Linked DNA regions of Mus musculus: regions 2, 3 and 4 are each reported to be linked to region 1. Evidence: microRNA targets listed by miRTarBase, many of them from high-throughput screens and not tested one by one. Region 1 holds a microRNA gene; each other region holds the end of a gene's coding sequence.

The links. The annotated mature microRNA mmu-miR-686 reads AUUGCUUCCCAGACGGUGAAGA and lies in region 1 at 4,967-4,988, opposite strand. An mRNA with a match to its seed (bases 2 to 7 or 8) in the 3' UTR can be bound and repressed. Matches are read on the target gene's strand: a 7mer-m8 pairs with bases 2 to 8, a 7mer-A1 pairs with bases 2 to 7 and ends in A, and an 8mer does both.
Region 2: miRTarBase lists Lmna as a target of mmu-miR-686. Seed matches in the 3' UTR shown: 7mer-A1 at 5,627-5,633.
Region 3: miRTarBase lists Zfp641 as a target of mmu-miR-686. Seed matches in the 3' UTR shown: 8mer at 2,007-2,014 and 7mer-A1 at 2,350-2,356.
Region 4: the mRNA of Ammecr1l is a reported target of mmu-miR-686. Seed matches in the 3' UTR shown: 7mer-A1 at 2,561-2,567.

What each region holds. Positions count from the first base shown.
Region 1 is chr14:54,611,780-54,618,899 of GRCm38, forward strand. Mir686 (microRNA 686) reads right to left here and starts at 5,006; the gene lies at 4,898-5,006. It overlaps Psmb5 (proteasome (prosome, macropain) subunit, beta type 5), which reads right to left and starts at 6,216. Exons shown (of 3, transcript NM_011186.1): 1 at 6,015-6,216; 2 at 4,736-5,042; 3 at 2,341-2,702. The coding sequence starts at 6,212. The coding sequence ends at 2,413.
Region 2 is chr3:88,476,231-88,483,350 of GRCm38, forward strand. Lmna (lamin A) reads right to left here. Exons shown (of 12, transcript NM_001002011.3): 10 at 7,088-7,120; 11 at 6,116-6,382; 12 at 4,918-5,870. The coding sequence ends at 5,844. Among named protein-coding and RNA genes, the nearest start is that of Gm40089, 14 kb to the left of the region's middle.
Region 3 is chr15:98,281,729-98,288,848 of GRCm38, reverse strand. Zfp641 (zinc finger protein 641) reads left to right here. Exons shown (of 6, transcript NM_173769.4): 6 at 1-2,727. The coding sequence ends at 377. It overlaps Gm33967 (a long non-coding RNA gene), which reads right to left. Exons shown (of 4, transcript XR_001781762.2): 3 at 1,775-2,724. Among named protein-coding and RNA genes, the nearest start is that of Zfp641, 11 kb to the left of the region's middle.
Region 4 is chr18:31,780,157-31,787,276 of GRCm38, forward strand. Ammecr1l (AMME chromosomal region gene 1-like) reads left to right here. Exons shown (of 8, transcript NM_153515.4): 8 at 488-3,927. The coding sequence ends at 599. It overlaps Gm26533 (predicted gene, 26533), which reads right to left. Exons shown (of 3, transcript NR_165792.1): 2 at 5,394-5,598; 3 at 1,078-2,366. Among named protein-coding and RNA genes, the nearest start is that of Gm26533, 5.4 kb to the right of the region's middle.

The sequences.
Region 1 (7,120 bases):
TGTGTGTGTGGAAGTTTAGGTACCCTCAAGGCCAGAGGCACTGGACTCACTAGAGTAAGCTGTGAGCTGCCTACTGTGGGTACTGGGTACTGACCTATCACACACTGACTCCTATTAAACGACTTTTGTACCACCGACCCAGGTTAGAATAGGAATATGCCAGGAAATTCTAGGTCTTCAGGTTTCACATCCTCTCTCCTACAGGACTCTGCAGATCAGGGGTGGAAACAGAGACCACTGCCAAAGCAGTGTGAGGAGACCTGGGGCGAGAAGCCCATCCAGTGTCTGTGTGTCCTGCCCTCTGGAGTAATGAACTGGAATCTGTCTTCAGCATGTTCCCTCTTCAAGGCACAGTTTTCAAACAGTGTTCTTTGGGGTCCCAGGGAATGTTACAGAGGCTGTAAAAGTACAATGATGGGGGCTATGCACTCTGAGACTCCACTTCAGCCTTTTTTTTTTTCTTTTCTTTTTTTTTTTTTTTCAAGACAGTGTTTCTCTTTGTAGCTCTGGCTGTCTTGGAACTCACTTTGTAGACCAGGCTGGCCTCGAACTCAGAAATTCGCCTACCTCTGGCTCCCAAGTGCTGGGATTAAAAGCCTGTGTTACCACTGCCCAGTCAAGTTGATTTATTTTTAAACATTCTAAATATATTTTTTAAGACTGGAGAGATGGCTCAGCTTTTAAGAGAATTAAAACAAACAAACAAAAACAATACAAAAAAAAAAAAAAAACCTCACCCTTACTTCCAATTTATTATGTAGCTTAGAATGGCTAGGGTTTGAACTTAGGGCTTCCTAAATGCTAGATATGCACTCTACCATTTGTGCTACATTCCAGCCAAAATATTCTAATTTTTAAAATGTACAGTCTGTTTGGGTTCTCGCTAATGGTCCTCTGGCTCCAGAGCTGTACAACAAAATGAATCTGCTGAGGCAAAGGAGTCATTTGTTTTCCAAACTCTGTCCTCCAGGCTCACTAATCCACAATTTCCCTGCACTTGACAAATGCAATTAACAAGCCTCGATCAGTTCCCATGGACAGCATCATTGATCAGAACACAAACTGCATGGCGCTGAGAAGGGAGCTGCAGTCCAGGGAGCCAGACCCACCTGACTTCTACTCACTCGCAGTCTATGGTCCATCCTCCTGACAACCCCACCTCTGCTCACAGACCACCTCGGGGTGGGGTGTGAAGCCAACAGTGTGAGTGCTCAGCAGGGACCTTCCCAGCCACACATTCTAGCAGCATTTGGGCTGCTTCCTGCCCCAGAGGCCAGAAGCCAGCCTCTCCTCCTCAGTGGCAGGCGCATCCGTGCCCTGAGAGAACAGAAGAGGACTACACAGGCTTCCACTTTCTCAGGGCTCAGGCCTTCCCTTCCCATCTCACTCAAGACTCCAGATCTGGCCCAGTGTGTTAGCACATACCTTGACTCCCGGGTCTCAGGAGGCAAAGGCAGGTGGGTCCCTGTGAGTTCAAGGCCAGCCTGTCCTACAGAGTGAGTTCCAGGATAGCCAGGGCTCAAATGAAGAAAAGAAATTCCCAGATTTATCCTGTTTATCATTCTACATTGCATAGTCTCCTCCTACCCCAAACACAAGACCTTCCCTCTGCAGCCCCGCCCACAACATCCCTGTGCATCTTTCCACCTCAACTTTTCACCTCTTCAAACTGAAGCAAGAAGTCTCCCCTCCTCCCCACCTTTCTCTCCTGCTTTGCTGTCAGCTTCAGGACTGGGGACATTAATGTATTCACCAGACTTTGTCCTCAGACCACCATTTCCTGTAATTACAGTGCCTTCTCTCTCACTGTCCTGGCCTGAAAGGAGGGGCAGTGTGGACAAGAGGCTGAGAAATGGTACAATTTTAGCACCCAAGAAACAGCACAAGCAGCGAGTGCATCAGAGCCCACCACCCCACCCGGTAACATTCTTACCCATGATTCAGAGCCTCACAAAGGTGTGGGGAGCGGGTGTGGCGGCAGTCCCAAAGGCGCCAGGGACTGCAGCTAAGTCATATGACTTGCACCTGACTTCCTCATATAAGACACAAACATCTTGAGTGCTGCGCAGGTGTACCAGGATACAGGTGAATCCAATTTGGTGGAGATTTGCCCCTGCTGCCCTGATTAGCTGAAGCCTCGTGACTGGCGAGGGGGCGTGGCCTGCGGTGCGTGGATGAGAGAGTATAAAAGGAGTGAGAGGCCCAGGGTTCGGGGGAGATATAAACAAGAAGAATCAGGACTGAATAAACTGCTGTTAGAAGGACTGGTGGTCGCGTCGTTCTTGCTGGTCGAGAGCGGGCGCGACACAAAGGCACTGAAATAACTGTGGACTCCACTCTGAAAGAGGTACTATTATTTATTATAGCCATGGAGACCCACCTAGAGATGCAGACAACCGCATCCACCTTCCCTCAGGGGACAGATACACTACTGTACTTGTCATGTAAGTCAGCTACATTGTCACTGGACACCCGGATCCAGCCATCCTCCCGCACGTGGTAGAGGTTGACTGCCCCTCCGGAGTAGGCATCTCTGTAGGTGGCTTGGTAGATGGCTCGGCGGGCCAGATCATAGGCCTCCTCCACTTTCAGGTCATAGGAGTAGCCTCGATCCATAACGCCGTAAGCATACACGGAGCCAGAGCCCACTGAGAAGGCGGTCCCAGAGATCCTGTTCCCCTCGCTGTCTACGTAGTAGAGGCCTGAGGGGATGAGGTGAGCAGGGAACGAGAAAAAAGACGTCATTTTAACACCCCTCCCTCTCTCTCTCTCTCACACACACCACCCCGCCCCACCCCGACAAAAATAGGATCTCCTTGGGAGGCAGAGACAGGAGGATTTCTGAGTACGAGGCCAGCCTGGTCTACAAAGTGAGGTCCAGGACAGCCAGGGCTACACAGAGAAACCCTGTCTCGAAAAAACAAAAAACCAACCAACCAACCAACCAAACAAACAAACAAACAAAACAAAAACAAATCTCAGCACACTTGGGAGGTGAAGGCAGGAGGATCAGGAGTTAAAGGCTAGGCTTGACTATGTATTAAGTTTGAGGTCAGCCTGGGCTACATAAAACCCTGTCTCAAAACAAAACGGGCTAGAAAGCTTCCTCGGCAGTTAAGAGTGCTTGTTGCTCTTGTCTAGGACCCAGGTTCAGTTCCCAATATACACGGGGTGGCTCGCAACTGTCTGTAACTCCAGTCTCTGGGGATGCAATACCTTCTTCTGTCCTCTGTGGGCACCAGGCATGCAAGTGGTATACACACATATACACATGCAAACACTCACATACCCATACAGAAACTCATAAAGAAACAAATTTTCAAGAAATCAGAGAAAGACAGAGTCAAATTTATCTTGAGATTTCCAGATTCCAGAGCACCATACCACCCATCTCTCCTCACAGTATGTTAACCATCCCTCCTGCTCTCTCGGCAACTCCAAAAGGCAAGCATGCTGGCCAAGTCAAGCACAGGACTCAGGAATGGTGGGAGATAACGCTTAAATGACAACTCTGTAGCCTATCGTTGTCATGCAACACAGTGGCTAGAGACTGCATGAAACTGACTTCAACACTTGAAATGGTACTACCGCCAGGTACTGAGAAATAATTTGGGCATTTTATATAAAATTAACTATACACCAACTCCACTAGTTTTACTGACTTCTGAGATACAATGTTTCTGTGTGCTCCAGGCTGTCCTTCTGCCATACAGCTTAGGCTGGCCTCGAACTCTTGACCCTCCCTAGTGCTCTAGGGTCACAGCTGTGTATCACTTGGCTTATTTATTTTTTACAATGAGGGCCAGTGAGGTGAGTCAGCATATAACTGTTGCTTACCACCAGGCCTGATGTCCTGAGCCCGGCCCACAGAACAAGAGAACCAACTTGAACAAGTTATCCTCTGAACTGCAGATATGCTGTAGGATGTGTTTGTTCACACATACACACACAAATAAATAATTTAACTTAAAATTTAAAAGTGGGGGGGGGGCTGGGGAGATGGCCCCCAGGGCAGGGGGAAGAAGGACGGGCCACTCTTGCCAAGGACCTGGGTTTAGCTCTGAGCACCCACATGTGGCTCACAACCATCAGTAACTGCATTCTAGAGGATCCAATCCCCTCTCTGGCCTCTTCAGGCACCATGAATGCACTGTGGTGCACAGTCATACATGCAGACAAAACACCCAAGCATAGAAAAGAACACAATTTTTTTTCTTTTGGTTTTTTGAGACAGGGTTTCTCTGTATAGCCCTGGCTGTCCTGGAACTCACTTTGTAGACCAGGCTGGCCTCGAACTCAGAAATCCGCCTGCCTCTGCCTCCCAAGTGTTGGGATTAAAGGCATGTGCCACCACACCTGGCTAGAATAGAACACAATTTTTAAAGTTTACAATTCCCCAGTACAAATGTTTTCTAGTCATTATTGCATGGGAAAGAAGGAGAGCTGTTGTGCCAGACATTGTACCAATTGCTCTATGTGCACCACACTTAACCGCTTCAATGGTTCACTTAACCAGTTCCCAGATGAAGAAATAGGCTAAGGTCAAATGACTAAGCAGTGAGTGACACAGCAAGTCTAACTCTATGCTCTTTCCTATTCCGTACAAGGCCTTCCTTGGAAAGGGAAGGAAGAGCTGAGAACCTAATATCGCATCCATTCCCAGCACCTGTTAAAAGCCCTCAATTCTCCCACCCATTTAACCCCTTCCCACCATGGCTCACAGGACACAACTCACCAGGGCCTCTCTTATCCCAGCCACAGATCATGGTGCCCATAGACAGCCCCATGCCTTTGTACTGATACACCATGTTAGCGAGCAGTTTGGAGGCTGCTGCGACCGAGATGCGTTCCTTATTGCGAAGCTCATAGATTCGACACTGCCGAGCCAACAACCGCTCCCAGAAGCTGCAATCCGCTGCACCCCCAGCCATGGTGCCCAGAAGGTACGGGTTGATCTCTATTACTTTCTTCACCGTCTGGGAAGCAATATAAGCACCTGCTGTGGCCCGGGAATCCGCTGCAACAATGACTCCATGGAGAAACTAGTTAAGGTCAGAGAAAACAAAAAGAGAGGCCCCGTAAGACCACAAATACTCCCCATACTTTATTTTTGTATAAATACAGAAAGATAACCTGGCTTTGCATCTTTTGGGATTTTGGAATCGACTTCTTTTTTGGGGGGTTTGGGGTTTGTTTTTGTTTTTCGAGACAGGGTTTCTCTGTATAGTCCTGGCTGTCCTGGAACTCACTTTGTAGACCAGGCTGGCCTCGAACTCAGAAATCCACCTGCCTCTGCCTCCCATGTGCTGGGACTAAAGGCGTGAGCCACCACCACCCGGCGTAATCGACTTCTTATGTTAAATGTCATTCGGGTTTAACAGCAGTTCCTGATTTATGAATAGCCCTTTTACTCACTTTAAATATGAAGTAGCAAGTTTAATGAGATAAAGACACCCTAAGGGGACTGGAGAGAGAGCTCAGTGGTTAAGAGCACTGGCTGCTCTTCAGAGGTTCGGTTCCCAGTGCTCACAAAGGTCTGTAACTCCAGTCCCAAGGAACACGACGCCCTCTTTTGGCGCCTGCGAGCACTACACACGTGGTGTATATACAAAAAATAAGAATAAATCTTTAAAGACTAGCCTAAGATCCAGAGCTAGTTATTGTAGGGCTGGAACAGGGACCCTAACTGTTCGGTACCCACTTCAGTAGCCCCTGGACTTCATCAAGCTCAGTTTATACAAACTTTGGTGAACGGCGACAATGGCTTCCCCCCCGCACCCTCCGCCACGGTCCGCTGTTCCCAGGTAGGGCTCCTGAAAAGGGGCAAACTGGGGTCGCCTAGGAGCCAACCCACGCTGTCCGTCTCCTTCCCTCACCGCCCCCTATCTCCGCCCACCTCTCCTTTCTTAAGGCTACGAGACAGTGAACCCGCCAAGGGTCGGGAGGAGGGGACCGAACCTCCGCCCGACCCGGTTCCGGCTGGGATGCCGGAGAAGCGCGAGCTGTCTGAGCACCTTGAAGGCCAGGGTGGTGGTTCCGTGAAGCATTTCGATTCGCGGCTCCTCCGGGACGCCCCAGCTCGGCGCGGCTAGGCTCAGCCCATCACCAGGACTCCCCGGACCCAAGTCCAGCAGATCTGCACCACCTCCGAGCCCAAAAAACCCGTGCTGATTCACCGGCATCGGCCGCTGCAACACGCTAGCCAGCGCCATGTTTAGCAAGGGCAACAGGAACTGCCTCCGACTGGCAACGCCGCGACGTCACAACTTCACGTCCAGCTAAGTCTAGACGGAGGCGGCGCCATTTTTACTCCGGGCAACCACACCTCTAAATACCAGCGCCGGTCTGTGTTCACCTAGGAAGGATGGCTGAGTGGTTAAGATTGCCATTTTTATTTTGGCATCGAAGTAGTACGGATAAGATTAACTTCTAATTTCTAGAGAGTGGTTGGAATGTTCTTCTCGAGTGAGGGAAGCGAATTCGGCCATCTTTGAGAAGGGCGTAACTGCTTAAGACTCCTAACTGGACTAGGGTGTTTGGTCACTGCCCAGGCCCAGGTTCAGATTGCAAGCTGTTTCTTTATTTTTCAAAACCCCGTTAAGGAGAGACTGAAGTGGCCATTTTCTTTAAGGCCACCTATCCTAATCCTGGTTCAAATAATTGTTTTCAGACCATTTTCCCATGGTATTAATTCAGCCGCAATAGTTGGTTGTCAACAACAAAAACTCCACCGCCTGTTTTTGATAGCATTTATATACATACCCTAGCTAGGGTTTTGTTGTGGCTTTTTGGGTTTTTTGTTTGTTGTTGGTTTTTTAGTTTGTTTTTTTTGTTTTTGTTTCATGCTCTACTATCCGGATTGTTCTTAAATTTACTAGGTAGGTAGGCCAGGCTACCCCCTCTTAACTGGCCAGGTTTTCCTGCCTTGTTTCAGACTAATGAAAGGCAGGCCTGAGCCACACACCAGGCTCACTGCCCCTTAAAGGTTTTTGTTTTGTTGTTTCTTCTTGATATTTATTTATTGTTTGTACATGAATGCTCTATCTACATGTACTCCTGCATGCCAGAAGAGGAAATCAGAACTCTTTATAGATGGTTGTAAGCTACGGTTGCTGGGAAT
Region 2 (7,120 bases), not on the chromosome of region 1:
CAGGCAGATTTCTGAGTTTGAGGCCAGCCTGACTGGTCTACAGAGTGAGTTCCAGGACAGCCAGGGCTATATAGAGAAACTGTCTTGAAAAAAACAAAACAAAACGAAAAAAGACAGGGTCTCACTATGTATCTCTGGTGGCCTGCATAAGGTTGATCACTAGATAAAGTTGGCCTTGAACTCATAGATATCCACCTGCCTCTGCCTCCCAAGTGCTGGAACTAAAAGTGTGTGCCACCACAGCCAGTGTGATGCTCTCTGTTGTCCACCTGCCGTTGTTTGGAGCGACCTGAACCACACCTCTGTATGTCTGGAGTGGGGCAGCTCTAGAGATGTTCAACTAAGGTTGGCAGCGCCCCCTAGAGTGAATAAAAAGGAAAAGAGCAAAGAGGGTGAGGCGGAAGCTTAGCCAAGGGCTTTCGCAACATCTACAAAGCCCTGGGGCCAAGCATCATGGAAACCAGTTGTGCTGGTGTGGCTCCTGACTGGGAGCCTCGAACTCAGGGAAGAGAGGTGGCATCAAGGTCACCCTCAACTGCACAGTGAATTCTCAAAGCTAGCCAGAGACATATGATGAGCCTCTAAGAAAAAATAAGAGAGGCGCAAAAGTGTCAGCCATGGTCTCTTTCTGCTCTAGGACCCAATGTGACCCACTGCCTCACCCTTCTCCTGTCATATCTTACTGCAGAGACGGACTGGCTCAGAACTAAGCCAACGACATAGGTAAATGGCTCAGAAGATAAGCACACTTGCCACTAAGCCTGACACCTGCGTTTGATTCCCGGTCTCGAAGGAAAAAAGAAAAGGAACAAAGAAAATTAAAATGAACAACATTAAAAAAAAAAAAAAAAGTAGGGCTGGAGAGATGGCTCAGCGGCTAAGAGCAGTGACTGCTCTTCCAGATGTCCTGAGTTCAATTCCCAGCAACCACATAATGGCTCACAACCATTTTTTTTCTCTGTTCAGTCCTGGCTGTCCTGGAACTCACTCTGTAGACCAGGCTGGCCTCGAACTCAGAAATCCACCTGCCTCTGCCTCCCAAGTGCTGGGATCAAAGGTGTGAGCCACCACCGCCTGGCTCATAACTATCTTAATGAGATCTGATGCCCTCTTCTGATGTGTCTGAAGATAGCAACAGTGTACTCACATACATACATACATACATACATACATACATACATACAATAAATCTTGAAGGAGAAGGAGGAGAAGGAGAAGGGGAAGGGGAAGGGGAAAAGGAAGAGGAAGAGGAAGAAGAAGAGGAAGAAGAAGAAGAAAATTGGAAAGTAAATATACATAAGACAGTGAGATCTCGATTGCTATTTTTTCATTTTGTATTCTCTATCATGGCCAAGTACTACATGGACAATAATAAAAAAATTAATGAATGCCAGTATTACATTCTTTAACAAAAATATAGACAAAGTAATCCTTTGAGGCCCAAATGCTAAATTGTGTCTATCTCCAAGGGTTTCAGAGGGTAACTGCGGATCTACCCTCAAGGCCAGTTTACCTTGGTATTTTACCACTTGCCTTAATGGCCTTTGGCGCTTGGCAAGAGCTGGCTTTGAGACCTGTGGGTGCAGGTGAAGGTAAGGCCTCAGGCTTTATCCTTTCTCAGGTTCCCAGTCTGCTCTGAGCCTGCCCTACCCATTCCTGATGCCTGAGGCGGGGCGGGGTGGGGAGGCGGCGTGATGAGACTCTTGGCGCCCCCTGGTGCCCTAGCTGGAAAGTGCATGTATGTACATTGTACATCCCAGAAGAGTGGACCGTGCGTGAACTGTTCTCTTACCCCTTGCTGCCATTGTGCAGGGCTGGCAGGCTGGCAGAGGATACACACCTGGGCTGGATTCTCACCAACTTCTACCTCTTCCTGTTCCCTTCTCCTGAGGCTGTGGGGCCTCAGCTTAGGAGATGCCACGGACTTTCAGTGTGATTCCAGAGCCCTTTCTCCTTTCGTTAATTTCTTCCTCTCCCCCAGCCTGCCCCTAAATGTATTTATTTTGTTTTGTTTTGTTTGTTTGTTTGTTTGTTTGTTTGTTTGAAACAGCGTCTCAAACTCATGGCAATCCTCCTACTCCAGTCTCCTAAGTGCTGGGATTACAGAGATAAGGGCCACATCGTGATGTCTTTTTTTTTTCCATGCTGGGTATGGACCAGGGCAGCCAGGATGTTAGAAACGTGCTCCTGCCTACAGATGGCCCTCTCAAATAATTAAAGTGACTTTTAAAATTACATTTGTTTACTGTGGATGGGGCAATGTGTAGCAATTTCCTTTGAGAGTTAAACCTTCCATCTTGGAGCTGGAGAATCGGCTCAACAGTTAAGAGTTCAGACTGTGTGTAAGACCTAAGTTTGATTCTCCACATCACACTGCCTGTTAAATACAACCTGAGGGATCTAGCATCCTCTTCTGGCCTCTGTGGGGAAACGCTCTCACATGCACAGGGAAGTTTATTAACACACAGAATGTTAGGACCAGGCATGGTGATCCCACACATCTGATCCCAGCACTAGGGAGGTAGACAGGTAGATCTCTGGGAGATCAAGGGAGTCTGTCTACACAGGGAGTTCCAGGATAGCCAGCTATACACAGTGAGACATTGTCTCAAAAGTACTGGGTCTAAAGCAGCAGGATGTCCTGCTTGTCTGACAGAAGATGAAACACTCTATCTTGCTAGGATAACTTGTTTTTTGTTTTTTGTTTTTTGTTTTTTTTGTTGTTGTTGTTGTTTTTTTTTTTTTTTTTTTTTTTTTTTTTTTTTTTTTTTTGGTTTTTCGAGACAGGGTTTCTCTGTAGTCTTGGCTGTCCTGGAACTCACTTTGTAGACCAGGCTGGCCTCGAACTCAGAAATCCACCTGTCTCTGCCTCCCAAGTGCTAGGATTAAAGGCGTGTGCCACCACCGCCCGGCAGGATAACTTGTTAAGCTCAGAAAGTAATTAACTTAATAGCTTCAGGAAGTTCCTGAAACTGACCAGGTGGCTGTCTCTGTCCTCGAGATATCTAAGCAGTAAGGACTACTCAGAAACACTCAGACTAAGCTGCTCGAGGGCAGAGACTAGTTGATCTGCCTGGAAGCTGAGTCACCTGGAAAGGACATTCTCTGACCTGCTGTGCTGCCTGCAGCTGTGGGCTGACCTCCAGGTTCCCAGCTCTCCTGAGCTATCTGTCACCCATGCTGGGCGAGCTTTGGTGAGGCAGCCATCTTTGATTCATTAACCCCTCACCTCTACTCTGTCAGTTATCCCAATAAACTTCACTGGTTCACCAAGTTGGGCTTTGGTGGCCCTTACTTTGATCTATTGTCATTTTTCTGTCTGAGATTAGTAGTCACTGTTATATCATATTGTGAACCCCAAGACTGGACACTGGAAAAACCTGTTTCTAGTCTTGGTGTAGCTCAGCTCTAGCACACACCTTTAATTCAAAAGCTTTCTGTTTATTGTAAACAAGATTAATAAAGTCAACCACAGGTCAAGAGGTGGAGCAAGCAACCAGTTGACAGGGAGTGAACACAGGGAAAAAAACCATAGAGTGAGAGGTCAGGAGGATGGATAGAGAGACACATGGGATCTAGAATGGAGGAACATTCAGTTGGTAGGGTTGGTTTTTATAACAGGGTAGAGGAGAACCAGTTTTCTTTTTCCTTCTGGTAAGTCAGTTGAAGAGTGGCAGCTGGGTTCTCTCTCTCTCTTTCGTTTTAAAAATAAGTAATTTGTTCAATCTCCCCAAGAATGGAATCACACTGCATATGGCAACATGGAGGTCAGAAGATCACGTGCAGGAATTAGCTCTCTCCTTCCACCATGCGTGTCTCAGGGGTGGGGTTTAGGTTTAGCACGTGTCTCTACCAATGAAGACATCTCTTGGACTCAATCACTTTGGGTTTTGTTTCTTGTTTTGTTTTTGTTGTTGTGATTTTTTTGTTTTGTTTTTGAGACAGGGTCTCTCCTATAAAGCCCTGGTTGCTGGAACTTGTTATGTAAAACAGGCTGGCCTTGAACTCAGAGATCCACCTGACTCTGGAGTGCTGGAATTAAAGGCATGCAATAGCATGACTGGTTCAATGATTTAAAAAGGTTTGATTGTGTGTGGATGTGAATTCGGGTGTACATGTGTGTGGGGTGGGTGCTCATATGTGAAGTACATAGACTTGGCATTCTGGAGACATGTTGTATGTCCTCGAGCTGGAGTTACAGGCAGTGGGAGCTACTTGACTGGGGGGCTGGGAACCCAACTCAGGTTCTCTTCATTTCAGAGTCATTGCTCCAGCCCTCAATCACTTTTGACTGAACGCCCAGCTCTTCTCCCAGGAAAAGACTTTTGTTTAGTTTTGGTTTGGTTTCTTGAGACAGGGTTTCTCTATGTAGCCCTGACTGTCCTGGAACTCACTCTGTAGAGCAGGCTGGCCTCGAACTCAGAAATCTGCCTGCTTCTGCCTCCCAAATGCTGGGATTAAAGGCGTGCATCACCACTGCTGGGCTCCAAGAAAGACTTTTGAAACAGGGTCTTGTGAATACCAGATTAGCCTCAAACTCACCACACCCCACCTTTTCTTTCCTTTCCTAAGAGTATCTCGGCCTACAGAGGCAATCACAGCATCCAGAGCCCTGCGACTACAGGGGCAGCAAGGGAAGCTCTGCTACTTCTGGCCCCTACTCTACCCTCCGTCTCTCTGTGCTCCTGTGTCTGATGCACATGTGGATTGCTGGCCCCTTTTAAAAGGTGCTGGATGGATGAGGGATAGGAAGGACACCCCTCGCTCACCCCACATATGCTGACCTTTCTAGAAGTCTCCCTCATACACACCTTTATAGCTGGGTAGTGAATATATAGTGAATGTGTGGCACCTCTGTGTGCATGTGTCTGCCCCTGAAAACACACATCACACCCAACAAAGAGACACCACAGCATCTGGGATGGAAACAACTAGTGTATTGATTTGGAGGGGAGAGCAGAGGTGCAGATGGGAAATGGGGTGAAGGGTTCCTTAGTGTTTGCTGTAGCCACCAATCGCCGCACCTCTAGACTTCTCACCAGCCCCAGCAGGTTCTCCCCATCTCTGGGAGCCTTCGTCCCCCACTCTTCCCTGTATCCCACTTGACATTGCCCTCCATCATTGAGACAGAGCCCACCAGGCTCAGAAGCTGGGAAAAGGTAGGCTCAAACTGATCTTCCCTTCTCCTTCCCCGTCATTCCCATCTCTTGTCTAAATAAAATATAGAAAAAGCAAGCACGGCAGATTTGCCTCTGGGAATCCACTCGCCCCAGGCTAGGGAAGGGCAGGAAGAAGGTAAGGCAGGCAGAGGAGCCTCGGCCTCGTGTAGTGCCGGGGAGGGGCTTGACCTTCTCAGTCATCCTCTCTGCGCCCCATTTCTCTGCAGCTGGCGTGGCAGTGGGCCAGCTGTTGGAGGAGGCTGGTGAAGAGAACTCCATGCCTGCCTCTCAGGCACCATTGTCACAGGGTCCTGGGATGAGGGTAAAGCCAAGGCAGCAGGACAAAAATCTAGACTCTATAAAAAGCAGTCCTTTCCCTGGGCTCCTAGAGAAGCCCTTTGGTTTTAAGGCAGATACAAGGAAAGAAAGGGGAAGGACTTAGGATTGAGATAAAGATTTTTTTTTTTTTTGCTTGAGTTTTTCCTTCAGTATAAAACCACTGTAGAAAATAACTTCTCTTAGAAAAAGAAAAAAAAAATAGAAGAAAAAAAAAAAAAACCAAAGGCAGGGGATAAATTTTTCTTTGGCTTCAGGCCTGCTCTCCTAAGGAGCAGACAGGAGGTGGCATGTGGTGAGGGGGGAGCAGGTGGCCTCTGCCCCCAGCCCTGCCTGGCAGGTCCCAGATTACATGATGCTGCAGTTCTGGGAGCTCTAAGAGAGAAGAGAAGGCAGAGGTGTGAGCAGCAGTGGCTGGCCCTTCCTCTCCCTCCCTGACCCCAAAGGGGGTTGTCTCCCCAACCCTCACACTCTGGGCCTTGCCCTGACCTCGAGTCTGGGGTTCAGACAGGAGGGGCAGGATGCAAGAGGGACTGCAAGGAGGGGGACCCCACTCCCTTGGGCTGCCCTGCCCTGCTGCTCAGTGAGCAGTGTCCTGCTGTAGGGCAGAGATGACTCACCTGGCTCCGGGGACTGGAGTTGCCCAGGAGGTAGGAGCGGGTGACTAGGTTGTCCCCGAAGCTGCCACCCCCACTGCCCCCCACACTGCGGAAGCTTCGAGTGACTGTGACACTGGAGGCAGAAGAGCCAGAGGAGATGGATCCGCCCACCTGGGCTCCCGCTCCACCGGCAGCCTTGTCAGCAGGCTGCCCACACGTCCCGCACAGCACGGTGCGTGAGCGCAGGTTGTACTCAGCGGGGTCCCCCGAGCCGCTGCAGTGGGAACCCTGGGAAGGGAGACAAGGCTCAGGAGGGACAGCGAGTTTGGGACTGACTTCTTAGGACCGGCACCTAGGCTGTGGGCTCTTGGAGCTTCCTGGCCATTGGGCAGGAAGGTGACCTCTGTCTGTACCCAGACAACCAAGTGATGGGGACTTGGGAGACCTGTGGCTGGGAGGAAGGGCATGATGGGGGAAATAGCCAGGAAGCCTTCGAAATAAAGAGCTGTGGCTTTAACTCTCTCCTGAATCTTAGACACTTATGGGGCAATCAAGAGGAAGAGCAAAGATGGAGAGACTTAATTTGTGAGGGGACAGGAAGGAAAGAGAACATTGTTGCAGGGAAATCTGAGGAGAAGCATGCAATAGGGTGGAAGGAGAGAGGAGAGAAGTGTGCATGCAATGGGAGTGAGGAAGAGAGGCAGGGCTGGGGCCACCTCTGTCCTCCCAGCCCCTTCCCAGGACACAAATCCAGAACCCTGTCCACTGCCACCGTGGAGTATCCATGGCATCAGCAAGTCCCCACTCCCTTCCTTACCAGACACCTGGGTTCCCTGTTCAAGGTAGAGGGAGGAGAGAGAAGAAAGGCCAGGGCAGCAAGTGGCATTCCAAAACATTCTTTAATGAAAAGACTTTGGCATGGAGGTGGGAGAGCTGCCCTAGGCTGGCAGGGCTACCCTTGTGGGCTGGGCCTCAGCGGCGGCTGCCACTCACACGGTGGTGATGGAGGAGCTCTTCTCCATCCTC
Region 3 (7,120 bases), not on the chromosome of region 1:
AAACCCATCTGCATGACAAGCCAAGCAGGTGCTCTGAGTGCGGCAAGAGTTTCCGATGCAGCTCGCACCTGGCCAGCCACCAGAGAGTGCACGCAGACAGCAAGTCCTGCAAGGGCCAAGACTTTGGAGAGAGTCCTGCGGCTCAGCACTGCGTGCCTCCCGTGCCAAAGTGCCATGTGTGCACTGAATGTGGGAAGAGCTTTGGCCGGAGGCACCACCTGGTGAGACACTGGCTGACCCACACCGGGGAGAAGCCCTTCCATTGCCCTCGCTGTGAGAAGAGCTTTGGCCGCAAGCACCACCTAGATAGGCACCTGCTGACCCACCAGGGACAGAGTCCTGGGAGCAGCTGGGACAGAAGGACAGCTGCCTTTTGAAATCTGTCTCTTCTGTAGCCATGGTCATATCTGTCAGCCGGTGCTACCAGCAGCCACTGCCAGAGCTGGCCCTCTCCTGTACCCTGAGGGCCAGAGTATTTCTCACCATTTCTGTGAGACAACGTGGGAAAACAGAGTTCTCTGGGCAAAATTGTGGGAAATGGTGCAAAGTATGTATGTGTGAGGCTATTCATGCTGAACCTACTCTCAAGGGAACCAGCAGTGATAGCTGAGGTCCATTCTCACTGGTTGGGGTCCATGTGGTACCAGTTCCCAAGTATTTACTCTACACAGAGAGAAAGTGAAAGCGGCTGTTAGTATATCAAGGGCTCTGAGAACCCCCACAGTCAATTTCTATTCATGTAATGTTTCCTAAATTTGTTTGGCTCCAAGATCTACATCAAATTCTACAGAATGGGTGACTCCATGAAGTACTGGGCTAAGATGAAAGGAAGAAACAGGAAAGAGATGGTGATCAGGCATTCGGAGCTTGAGAGCAAGGGGCCAGACACTCTCATGTGGGTCTGCCTCCTCTCTTCCTCTTCTCTCTTCCCCTGTGATCACATGCCTCTCACTCCTCCCTCTGAAAAGTATAGAGTGAGCTTTCACTCCCAGTTCATAGTCCCTCATCCTGTACACACACACACACACACACACACACACACACACGTTCAACATGCACATACCACACACAACCACATGGATGCATATGCACACACATGCACACATGCTACACACACACACACACACACACACACAGCTGAGAGATCAGGTTACAGAGCTAAAGAGTGAACTTTGTTACCCAAGTAATCAAGGCCCACACAGAAGGAAAAACTATCCCCTTGAACAGAGCTTTCTCTTGTCTGTGTTTTTGTGTCCGTGTGTGTACGTGTGCAGGGTCTTTGAAGACAGCATGCTCAGTGCGAAATGTACAAGTTAGGTTTTCTAGGAACTGTGTTCTAGGGATAAGGGTAGTGGGGACGGTATGAGTTTTGGTTTTGTTTAAACGTATTCTGAGTGGTACAGGGAGTCGTAGTGGGATGGTGTAACAATGGCTTGAGTTGTGTACAAAGTTTTCCTTGGTATTCCTGGGATGTAGACAGTTGTGGATTTGTATATCTAGGTCTGAATCCCTGGGAGGAAATTCCCTTCCCCTACAGAGACGGAAAGGGACAGTGACTTGTTGTTGTTGTTGACCTCGAGCAATGTGATGGTGGTTCGTGCTGCGTGGGGTTCTGTCTTGTTTTGTTTCACGTGCTAAAACTATCAGGACAGGGGTCACAGCCCTGGGAGTTACTCTTGTCATCCTAGTTTGGCTTTCATCAAAGGGAAGAATGGTTGCTGAGCCTCTCATTCTCCCAGGAAAAAGAACCGGAGGAGAAAAGGCTGTTGCTTACCTTGCCGACCTGAGGCTACTGAGCTTCCTGAAGGTGTTCCTGCTGCCTCTGGAAAGGGCTTCACACTTTGGCTCTTGCCTCTGAGGTTAGCGCCTGCACCAGGGTTCAGACAGATGTCCCCATGCCTGTCAGTTCACGAGTTTTCACTGTTTTTTTCTTTTTGGTGACTGTGTTAATACACATCTTACAACTTAACCTCTATTTAAGAGAAGTTTGGAGTCAGGGAGGAACAGAAGCAAAGAATGTAAGAGGGGGTGTCTTCAAGGCTCACGCACGGGCTGCTGCTTCTCCTTGAGATATTTATTTCTCGAACACTGTTAGAATTAGCCAGAGAAGACACAGGAGGAAGTGATTTTCAGCGATCTAGTTAATGAGTGCTCTGCTTGAGAAAAGCTGGGTGAATCAGAGAGAGCTCTTGGGCCCTTGGCTCGAGAGGAATGGAAACAGAGTTATTCTGCTGACTAGGCATTTTGGTTAAATTGAGCAGCCCAGCCTCCAACCTCTTTCTGCAGCTGCTCAGAACAGCCTCCCTTCTTGAGCTAGGATGCATTCTCTTGCTTGTGTTCTGATGAATCAAGCAAAAAAAAAAAAGGGGGGGGGCAACCTTGCAAGCAGGCCTTAGTCTCCGGGGATTGGAGTCGTTCTAGAGTCAATGTGATGAGAATGAGAAAACTCGCCCACTTTAATACACATATTTACGATAAAGTCAGCTCTGTGCAAAGCAATCCCTTCGGAATCCGGTAGAAACCAGGCAGAAAAGTAGACATTTACAACTCACTCATTTGCATATGCATTGGACAAGTGGACTCAGAGCCTGCCCTTGGCATCTCCAAAGGAGAGGAACAGTTGGTGGTGGTGTCTCTCTCACATCCTTAATCCCAGCTTCAGGGAGGCAGAGAGAGATGGTTTCTGCGTTCTGGATGAGCCAAGGCAATGTAATGAGATCCTGTCTGAAAACAAAACAAAACAAAACAAACAAAACATAAGGGATGTATCCTTCCTGACTGGTTGTTGTGTAGATGACACTTGTATCAAGAACTACAAGGCAAGATTCATCAAGTATTTTAAGGATTTAAATACTAGAAGGCACCAGGAGATGAGGACAGAGCCAGGCCTTCAATGGCTAAGGCACGGCTTAGACTGACTGTGCCCTGTTCTTAGGGAACATCAACGTGCTCATGGCTCAGCTCACAAAGCCGGCTTTAAACGCTTGTGGGTGTTAATGTTCCTACCTATCAGACGATACCTCTCAATAACAGTGTAACCTCCAGCCTTTTATCTGCTTTAGTAATTGAGGGGATAGAAAGTGGAGCCCCCAAAGGGTAGGTGCGGTTACAGCATCCAACTGAAAGGCAGCACAGAGTTTAAGGGCTTTTTTTTTTCCCAAAAGGAACAGTCCTTTGGCTCATTTCTGATGTAACGTTATCTTGTCTACCTCGGTCCAATACAACGCCTTTGGACAAATAATAAAACGAGCAACGACCATTAAATGAGTGAATGGGTCTGATTCTTCACATAACCTCAAATTTTCACCTCCTCAACTCTTGGGTCTCATGAGTACACTCTCCAAGACCCTTACATTTTAATTTTGTGTATGAGTGTTTTGCCTGAGTGTATGTATATGCACCACATATGTGTGTCTGACACTCTCAGAGGTCAGATGTGGGCAATGAATTTCTGTGAGCTGTTTGCATCTACCCTGTGGGTGCTGGTCCAGGTAACGCCACACCTCAGGCTCCGCCCCTCTCTTTCGTCACCACTCGTGTCCACATCTTAGGCTCCGCCCTGGGCTCCCTCCTCTTACTCAACTCGTTTCCCCACAGGCAGCACCCTACTTGCTTTCTTCTCACTTCTGTTGTTCCGTTGAGTTTGTTTTGCCTGAGCAATCTCATCCCTTCCCAGGGGTATTTATTCTGCCCCATTTCTGTCCCTGCAAACCTAGTTTCTCTAAGTTTCTGGCTAATTGCACTCCACTCCGATCCCATCGCTACCCCTGCCTGCTGCCTAGTCTTCTCCTTGCTCCCTCCTTTTCTTTTTCCTTTCTCTCTCCATCTCTCTCCGTCTTGCCTCTACTGTATTGAAAATCTCACCCATGGTGCACCGACCCACAGTCCACTTCCCCAGCCCACTGCTTGCCTCTGCTTGCCTGGTCCAGCTCTTTCCCTCCTTTCCGGGATGCTTTCCTTCCCTTTCAGAGGCATTTCTCATCTATTTGGAGGCTGGGGGGAGGATTAATTTGCCCTTCCTGAGCCTCAAACTGTCTCAGTTTGCGGAAGGGGGCGCACATAAGGGTGTGTGCTCATGCACACGAGCGGAGAGATGGATGAGGACTTAATATAGGGACAACATAGCCAAAGAAGAGAACTTAGTGGCTGAGAAATCCATTCATTTCTCCAGATTTTTTTTTTTTAAACCACAGCAGAGTATGTGTTGAGGGGTGAAGCGAGGGGCTGAAGGGGAGGGTGTGTCTCAGTCTGGACAGCCCCCAGTCGCCCCTCCAAAACAAGCATCAAAAACAATCTCCGCCCCCTACACACACACACACACGCACACACACACACACACACACACACACACACACAGCGTCTCTCCCCCACCACGCTGGATCCTGCTCAACTCCCAGTGCTGCTGACTCAGTGACAGGCTCCATAGAGTGCTGTAGCGTCAGGATAAGAGTGGGCGGGACCTTGGACTTCCTCAGTCAGGGACCACTCTGCAAATACCCATTATGCCTTTGCGGGATAGAAGTGGGGCCCAAGGTCATGATGACCCGCTCCAAATGACCTCTTGTCAAGTTCAGAGAAACTGGATGTTTTCGGGAAGCTAAATGGAGCAGGCACAGGTGGAGTTAGGGCATGGAGAAAGCCGGCTCTGGGGTTGCTTTGAGTGGGGTGGAGCGGGGACTGAGAGGTCATGATCGACCCACTAATGTGTTGTTTTGAGACCAAGCCTCAGGCCTGCAGACAGCCTGGCTGCATGAGCGTAGCAAGGGGTTTGGGGCTCCATGCTATTGAGGGAACCTTCTAGACCCCTGCTTAAGGGATGTGCCTCAGATTCCTGCGCACTGGTAAGAGCGAAATCGCTAGATCCCTGCTTCAGGGATGTGGTTCCGATTCCTGCGCACTGGTAAGAGCAAAATCGCAGGATATGGAAGAAGAAGGTTCACTCTCTTTGCTTGCTTACATATACATATACTCACACACATATACATATATACACACATATGCACATATATACATATACTCACACACACACACATTCTGTCGGTTCTAGATAACCTTCTAGATAAATTATAAAGGAAAAATTCATCAGAATAACACTTGGCTTCTCAATAAAAACAACAAACCAGAAGAGAGCAGTATATTTACTCTAAGTTCTACAAACACCACAAATGCCAACCCTGACTCCCTTACCCAGTGAAGCTGTCTGCCAAAGTTGAAGCAAAACTGCAAGTCTCAAGCTTTAATACCAATGAAACTCCTTAGTCAAAAGGCATAACGTAGTTGAAAGGACTTGCAAGAAAGATCCATCCTTCTCTCATCTATAAGAAAATCATCTTACTTTCAGAAGAGACAATACTTTAAGGTGAACAGATGAAAGTATTTTTTTCAAAGCAATTTAGACCAGAAAGCAAGCAGACATTGCTGCCATCATATCTGACAAACTAAACATCAAATTAAGATTAATCAGAAGAGATAAATAAGACCATTTCATCTTGCTCAAGGGAACAATTAACTAAAAAGACATTACAATTCAAAATTCTGGTACACCCAACCTCATAAAAATCATACCAGCGGATTTCAAGATGCAAATTATCCTGGGCTCAGCAATAATAGATGGTTTCAACAAGACACAGCCCATCTGGACAAAAATAATGGATGATATAATTCACTTGAGAAATTATTTTGATTAATACATCTGAACCATAGACAGGATGATAGAAATCTCAATGTGTTACTAACGCTCATATGACTGTTGGCATGAGGGTAGAGAACGGAGAGCTGTCTAAGCAAACACAGAAGGGAGTCAAGAAAAGATGGTGTCACCTTAGTCACCTCTCAGACATCATCAGAATTAAATGACATCACCTATCAAATGATCCTCACATATATCTACAGGATATTTTGCTCAAGCTCCAAAGATTATATATATATATATATATATATATATATATGTATGTATGTATTCAGAGCTTATACATACATACATGCGTGTGTGTGTGTGTGTGTGTGTGTGTGTGTGTGTGTGTATGTGTGTGTGTGTTTTACTTAGCAGCCAATGGACGATTCTCTAAAATAGACCACATACTGGGGTTCAGAATAACTCAAATAGCTCAGTGTGTCTGATCTGACAACAATGCAATAAAGCTCAAAGTTATAACCAAACGAGTCTCTAATAAATTACACAAAACTAAACAACATGAATTGAATGAATCCAAGAAAAAGAAAAAGAAAAAGAAAATGAGAAAATCAATTCCCGAGGTAATGGGGAATGAACAGACAAAAACCTCTGTAAAACCATGGGGCTCACTAAAAACAGCCCGAAGAAGGAGAGTTATGTCTCTGAGTCAAGTCCCCTCAGCTAGAAATTCAGAGCTTCATCCCAGTTTCTCGAGATTTACCCTAAGTCTGTCTGCAATGTGCCAGCCCAAGCCCCCTTTCCCAGCCCACCTCCATCCCTCAGGATTAGGATTTTTGTACAGACCTAGAGTCTCTTTAGTTCTTCCAAGATATCTGGGACACTATGAAAAGACAGTATCTACAAATAATAGGGCTCCAGGAAGACATCATAATCAAAACATTAAAGAAAGGATATTAAACCTGCCATGGAAGGACTCTATGTAACAGAGGGAGGCAGGCCCATTTGAATAGCACTGACTTTCCAGTGGAGATCATGAACAATAGAAGGACTAGGTTGATATACTAAAAGCTCTGAGAAGAAAGAGATCCCAACTCAGTCTACCATACCTAGCAAAAAATATCAATCACACAGACAGAAAAATGATTAAAATGATTAAAACAACAACAACACAAATTTAAGCATTTTCTGTGCACTGATTAAGCTACACAGAAGGCACTAGGTGGAAAACTCAAGTTTGCAGAGAACTACAGTCTAGAAGACATGAAGAATAAATAACCATAGAACAGTTAGTGAAAAAAGACAACAAAATATAATGAATTAAAAAATACTGCTCATTAATAACTCTAAACATCAACAGTCTCAATATCCTATTTATAAAAACATAGACCAACAGATTGAGTTAGAAAGCAGAGTTCATCTCTCTGGTGTACCCTAGCATCAAGGAGAGATGTCACCCAGGATAAAAGAACAGAAATGGACATTCCA
Region 4 (7,120 bases), not on the chromosome of region 1:
GACCCAGAATTAGGTATCTATGCCCCTTTTAGTTATAACTTGTTTGTTGCTCTTCTACAAATTGAGGTTGCATTTCTGTCAAATTTATCTCACTTTTAACCTGAACGTAGATAACGCAGTTTACACTGGGTTTTGGTGAAGCCATCTTCCAATCTGTCCCCCATGTAATTTGACTTTGGAATTCCTCATGCAGATGGTGGGAGCAGATTGCTTACCAGCAGCCTGTTGATAAGCATATGTAGCGTTTTGAGGTGGGATGTGCTGAGATGCATTCTCAGGGCTGAACTGTGGTTGTGCTTTCTCATCGTGTCCATTTGTAATAACAACGTCATTTTCTTGTGCCGTCTTTTCATTTTCTGTAAGATTGCTCTTGGTCTTCCATTTTATTCTTTGGAACTGTGGGATAAGCCTTTAGTTTTCTCTACTGAGTGACTCTTGACACTGAGATATTTGGGCTTCTTAACACTTTGCCTGTTTCCTCATACAGGTATCGAAGTGAGAAGGTGACAATCAGTTATGCAGAGTATATTGCTTCTCGACAGCACTGTTTCCAGAATGGCACTCTTCATGCCCCGCCCCTCTACAATCATTACTCCTGACACACGGCTACATGACCAGTCCCACCCCCCTGTGGCCACCAATGGCTATGACATCATTGGAGCAGATGCCTCCTCTTCCTGGTCCAGTTACTTCTATTACTGCACCATTTTATGATGCTAGCTTCCGTTGCCAAGTCTGCCTCCTGCTGACTGGAGGGTGTGGGGATACATTGAATGCAACAGAACATGAGGGGCCCAAGCCTTATATCAGCCTTTCCTCAATCTGGGGTTCTGTTGGATCAGGGCTCCCCAATAACCAGTGAGAATGGCTGTGTGGGTTCAGAAGACCGTTGTCTGGTGATTTCCCACAAGTATTGGCCACACACTGAAAACTGGAATTGACTGTGACCCATGGAGGCTTCTTCCCCAATCCCCCACAGCCCGCCACATCAATTAGCTGTACTCCCTGGCAGTCTGGGCAACGGAGACCAACAGGAACCACTTTTAGGTTGTTTTAAATTCCTTTTTTTAAACTTCCAGTTTATTGTGTACCAAGAGTTGATCCACAACCTCCATGCTTCAGAAGTGAACACCATGTTAGGGTTGAACATGGGCACCATGAGCCCCTGTGAGTCCTGGATAAGATTCTCAAACCAAGATCAGAAATCCTGTGATGACATTTCATCGTACAGTAAGCTGTGAAGGTTTTCATGCTTACCCGACTCTCAGTGGACATTCTGGTACTCTTCCTGCATTGAGTCTCCTGCTGTGAGCTCTGTGGCATAGCCTGCTGAGGAATGGAATGGAGATGCCTATAGAGGTCCCAATGTCATCGTCGTAAGCAGGTGTGAAAGGAGAGATCTCTTCCTCACCACCCGGCTACCTCAACTCTTTTCTGGTAGCAGTGCCTATGTAGCTGCATCTAGGTTCTCAGAAGCACAGACATGTAAACAGGTGGTTGGGTTGGGCTTTAGGACATACTGTCACAGGAGAGCTTCCAGGGTCTCTGAGCTGGTTTTCTTCACAGGCAAACATCCTGAGGGACCTTTAAGTAGGGGAGTTCTTTATTCTGATTTGCCTGCAGAAGTAGGAAGACTTGCTATATCAGTCCTCAGTAGGACTAGAACAATGCTGTGTAATAAAACAAGGTGAACCTTTAACTTGCCTACCATACTGGGACTCCTCACTTCACCAGTGCAAATGTCCAAACTGTTCGTGTTGCTCATTTAAACTCTTGACATTCCCGCTCCCATCTTTACTCATTCCAAAATAGCTGATAGCAAATTCTTTTCATTCATTTGGTGGCAAAACGTGTAGTACTAGGAAACTAGGGAGGTGCTTTGACAGCTCTGTCTCAAAGGCACTGACTGCTCAGGCAACTCAAAGGAAACGGCCGGCTGGAAGAAAGGCTCCTGAGGATGGCGCACTGGTTTTCAGCAACATTCATAGAGACTCGGGAGGCAGATGTGGCCTCAACCTGGTGAACATATGTTTTGATTTCTTTTTTTAGGATTGATGTGGTGATGGTGTGGCTTTCCAAAATGGGCAAATATTCAAGTCCTAGCTCATCAGTTTCTTGTGCCAGGAATGGAGGAAGGGAAGTAGATCTACTTCCATATGTGCTATTCTAGGCATCACTTCAAAGTTCTTGCGGTTTTCATTTGTTTTGTTTTGTTTTAAAACTGGGCAGAGAGGTTGTACCAGGAGTGATGACAGACCTGGAATGGATGAGGGAAGTGCTGATGACATTGGAATGCCCAGGATGCATGGCCCTTACTGCCAGGGTGGGTTCCTTCACATACCTAGGATGAAGGGGTCTCATGCTGCCTGCCGAGGGGAATGAAGGCTATGTTATTGACATGTGACAGCAGGTGCTCTCAGGTGCCATGGATTGATGCAGGGTGCTCAGCTCTGGACTGAGGTACCCACTTCCAATTTGTAAAACAGTATTGATACATAGGGCTACACTCATTACTGTTCAAGCGTTCTATGTTAAGAGTTGTTTAATTTCTAAAGATTTAAAGCAAAATGCAAAAAAAAAAAAAAAATGGTGCTAAACTTCACCCCTGAGCACTCAGTGAGACTGGTCATGCAAGCATCTACAGTGCCATGCTCCTCAAGCCTGTTTTTCTTGTAGAAATGTTGCCCTATCTTGTCTTTCCCAATGTATAGTGTGTGTTTTGTTTTATTGAGGGTGGGGTAGAATACTTGCCATTTAAGAAAATGACAGAAAGACCCAGAAAGGTGGGGTTGGGGAATCGGTAAACAAGAATCCAGCTAGCAAGGCCCAGCATCACACTGAAGTGGGCTCAGTGGTTTCAGAGTGAAGTCGCCTTACTCCTGCACATTCCCTCGTGCTCCCAATGCAGTTCTGCAGTGCAAATGCTCAAGTTCCTCCTGCCTTGTCAAGGAGACCTGGAAATCAGCAAGGAAAATTATTTGCCCCAAAAGACATGGGCTCTATTGGTGTCAGTCCTGACTTGAGCATAGGCATTCACAAGTTGAAGTACAGTCTTGGTCACCTCATGGGAACATGTGGCAGATAGCTCTCAGGAAAAAGCAATTGTGGATTGTCCACTTGGGGGCTTTGCATAGGGAGGTCAAGCTCTGAATTAGAACTGAGCTGCCTTCCATACGTTGACCAAAGCAGTGATAAGGGTGGCCAGTTAGTGGTAGTGGAAAGGGACCGTTTCCTGCCCTGGGTTTCCTTTAGCTATAGGCTGCAAGGTCCCCACTGCTCTCAGAGAGCCAGCTAAACTGCTGGCTTGGTTTGGAATTTGTTTCATCCCTAGCTGTGAGTGCCTTTTGGTCTGGAAAGTTGGCTTGTCTCATCATACCCACAGCTAGGACATATACTCTGTAATTATGAATTGTCCTTGTTTTCCTGAGCTAAAAGCGAATGTCTTTGATCATTAGAGTTTGTTAGTGTTGGGTTGTTTCCACTGTGAGGTTCTTAAAATGTTTTTGCTTCCTAATGTTAAAATAACTCATGTTAGAAACCCTGTACACATGAAAAAGGGTTTGTAGTTGAGACATTACGTATATTTTACTGTTTATAATAAATCATCTATACAAAAGTCTTGGGTGTTAATTTTAATATTTTGAGCAAAATCTGTTTTCCATGCTATGTTAACATCTACAATTTCACTAATAGTGTTACTTTCCATTGATTTCTGAAGCCTAGAAAACTGTTTTTGTGTGTTTTTTTTGTTTTGTTTTGTTTTGTTTGTTTCCCCGAAGAGATTGTATGGCCTTCACTGCAAAGACTTCAGACCAATTACTTGTATTACACTTGGTTGCCTCGTGGCTATATAACTTCTGAGTACACGTCATCAAGAGTCCTGAATGAAGTATTGTAGAGAATAAATCATAATGGACAAAAACTGTCTTCTGCCTCTGTGTGACCACCTGACTTGAGTTACTGGAAACAGATTTTCCATTATTTTGTTTGATGTCCTCATAAGAGATTTGTCTGCCTCTGCCTCACAACTGATGGGAATAAAGAGATGGGAAATAAACCCATCCCAGTGAGAGTACCTGTTAAAAGATTCCTATGAGCTAGGTAGGATAGAGCCATCCTTCAATCCCAACATGGGAGGGCTACAGTGAGAGACTGTTTCTTAAAAAGCAGAATATCAAAAACTATAGGTGAGATGGCTCAGCCCATGAAGGATGTTGCCACCAAATGACCTTTTCACCTTGCAACACAATATAGTTGAAGGAGAACCACGCTGTCCTCTGCCTCTATATATGTGGTCTGGCACAGACACACAAAATAAGTGGTGTGATAAAACCTTAAAGATTCCTATCATTTGAGATTAGAGGTGCTTAAATATGTGGTATGAAGTTGTCCTTTATTCTCTGAGGTTAACGGTGCTAATTCTTGGTGAAAGTAGGGGTGATTAGATACTTTTAAAGCTCTTTCCAAACCTAGACATGGTAGCTCAGGTCTGTAACACCATGATTTGGGGGACAGGAAGATGGACAAGAGTTCAAAGCCAGGATGAACTGCAAAATGAAATCTTATGCCCCATCCCCATCCCTGCTCCCCCCCACCCCCCAAAAAAACGTTGATTAGTGGCACATGCCTGTAATCTCCGGCAGAATGACTGCTGTGAATTTGGCTATAGAGTAAAGCAATAGTCATCTACACTGGAGAAATGGCTCAATGGTTAAGAGCATTTCTTACTGAGGATCTGGATTTGGTTTTCAGCACCCACATAACCATCTGTAATTCTAGTTCCAGGGGATCTGACACACTCTTGTAGCTTTCTTAGAGACTGCACACAATATACTGATATACATGCAGGCAAACACCAGGACAGGTGTCTCATGCCTGTAAAAACCACCACTTAGAAGATGCACAGACAGGCAGAACTTTGAAAACTCAAGGCCAGCCTGGTTTACAAAATTGTTGGAGTGTCAGCTAGGGCTACAGAGTGAGAACCTATCTCAAAAACACAATTCCACTCCAGACTCCTGGCATGTTAAATGGAATTCAAACTCCAGGTTTATGATTGTATAGTAAGGGTTCTTAACTGTGGAGAGCCATGTCTTTAGCCCTAGCCTGTTGGAAGTTCTTTAGCCAAGGTCCAGTACACAATGCCAGGGCTGGATGGCTCTCTAGCCACCTGGATTGTCATAATGTTGTATATAAAGTGGGATTGTGGGAAAATGGCAAACCCTTTATCACAGTAGTCCTCAACCTTCCTAATGCTGTGACCCTGTAGTACAGTTCCTCCCAACTATAAGATTATTTTCAGTGCTACTTCATAACTAATTTTGCTGTTGTGTCTGTAGTGGCTATTCCTGATTGTCAACTTGACTATCTCTGGAGTGAATTACAAGGCTCACCTGTGATTCAGATCTTGAGGCTGGAAGACACAAGTTTCTGACCTGGATCTTGGCATGGAGCTCTTGCGGCACAGTGGCCATGAAAAGCTTAGGCCCAGGCAAAGTAGGAGGCATGGAGGTCTCTAAGTTCAGCTTGGGACAAAGCAAGTCCCAGATCCAGGTGTGGTGGTACACACCTTTAATCTGGGCCACACCTGCTGGAGACCTACATAAGGACATTGGAAGAAGGAAGATTAGCTCTCCGCCTGCTTGCCTTGTGGGACTGAGCAACTGCTAGATCCTTGGACTTCCATTCACAGCTGCTGCTGACCATTGTTGGGGAGCTGGACAACAGACTAAGTCAACAAATTCCTTTACTATACAGACTACCCATAAGTTCTGTGGCTCTATAGAGAACCCTGACTAATACAGAGTCTTAATGTTAGGAGATAGAATCCTTATGTAATTATGTTTCCCAAACTTATGGGGTCAAGAGTCATAACTTGAGGACTGGTGCTTTACAACCTGGGCATGTACAGGGAGACAGTGTTTATGTTTCAAGTCAAGATAAGCTGTCAGAAGTTGCAGACAATGAAACTCTGGCACGTCCAGTTTGGCAAAAACTAGTTTATTAGGGTTACTGACTAGAGTATGGCCAACTCACAGCTACACTACTGAAAACTGCCAACACTTGTGGGGTGGTGAGCTGTGACAGGCAGCCTGGTCCCTGGTCGAGCAGTGTTCAGTAGTGTAACAAGGGCACTGGTGGCCATCTAGAAGACCATCAAGCTCACTCCCTGATGTTGAACACCAAGGAAAGACAGAGGACCAAGCCCTGGAGAATGGGAAAGTGACACAATTATCCCTAGGGATAAAAGACTACAGCTTGGAAACCCTGATGGACTCTGGTTTGATAATTTTCTAGAGCCCCTGGGGTCTCCTCTTCCCACTATGGGTGTCCTGTTCAGATGCCTGTCCCCGTGCTTTTCTGCCATTTCTCCCCATGTCTTCTGTGAACAAGAGACAGCAATCTACGGGAGCCTGCTTTTTCTTTCCTTGTCCACCTCTTACCCTCAAACTGTCTCCCAGATGGAATTTGGGTCCTCGTGCGTATAAGGACAAGCACTGTGGTAACTAAACCATCTCTCCAGAACTCACTCTCTAGACCAGGCTGGCCTCGAACTCAGAAATCCACCTGCTTCTGCCTCCCAAGTGCTGGGACTAAAGGCGTGCGCCACCACACCTGGCTACTCCCTACCTCTTAAACAGCTCTGACTTCTAGTACTTGAAGCTTTAGGAGATTAATTTAAACCATATCCAAACTTCAGACTCTTGACCTTCTCTTGGCATCTTCTCTGACTTTCTGTTAGATCATTTGTCGATATTGCTCTAGCTACTGTTGGTGAGCTCATTTGGAGGACAGAAGGACAGGAGGACAGACTTTTACCTAACTCATCATTTTAACCATATGGCCTAACAGATGGCTTATACTGGTTTCCTAAATAAAAATGTCATATACAGGCCAATCTGTGAAATGTAACTTTATGTTTTTCTTACTCTCTCTCTCTCTCTCTTTTTTTTTTTTTTTTTTGTTTTTTAGCCCAGGCTGTCCTGGAACTCATTTTGTAGACCATGCTGGCCTAAAACTCAGAAATCCACCTGCCTCTGCCTCCCAAGTGCTGGGATTAAAGGCATGCGCCACCACGCCTGGCTATTCTTCTTTTTTCTCTCTATGCCTGGTGACTTCT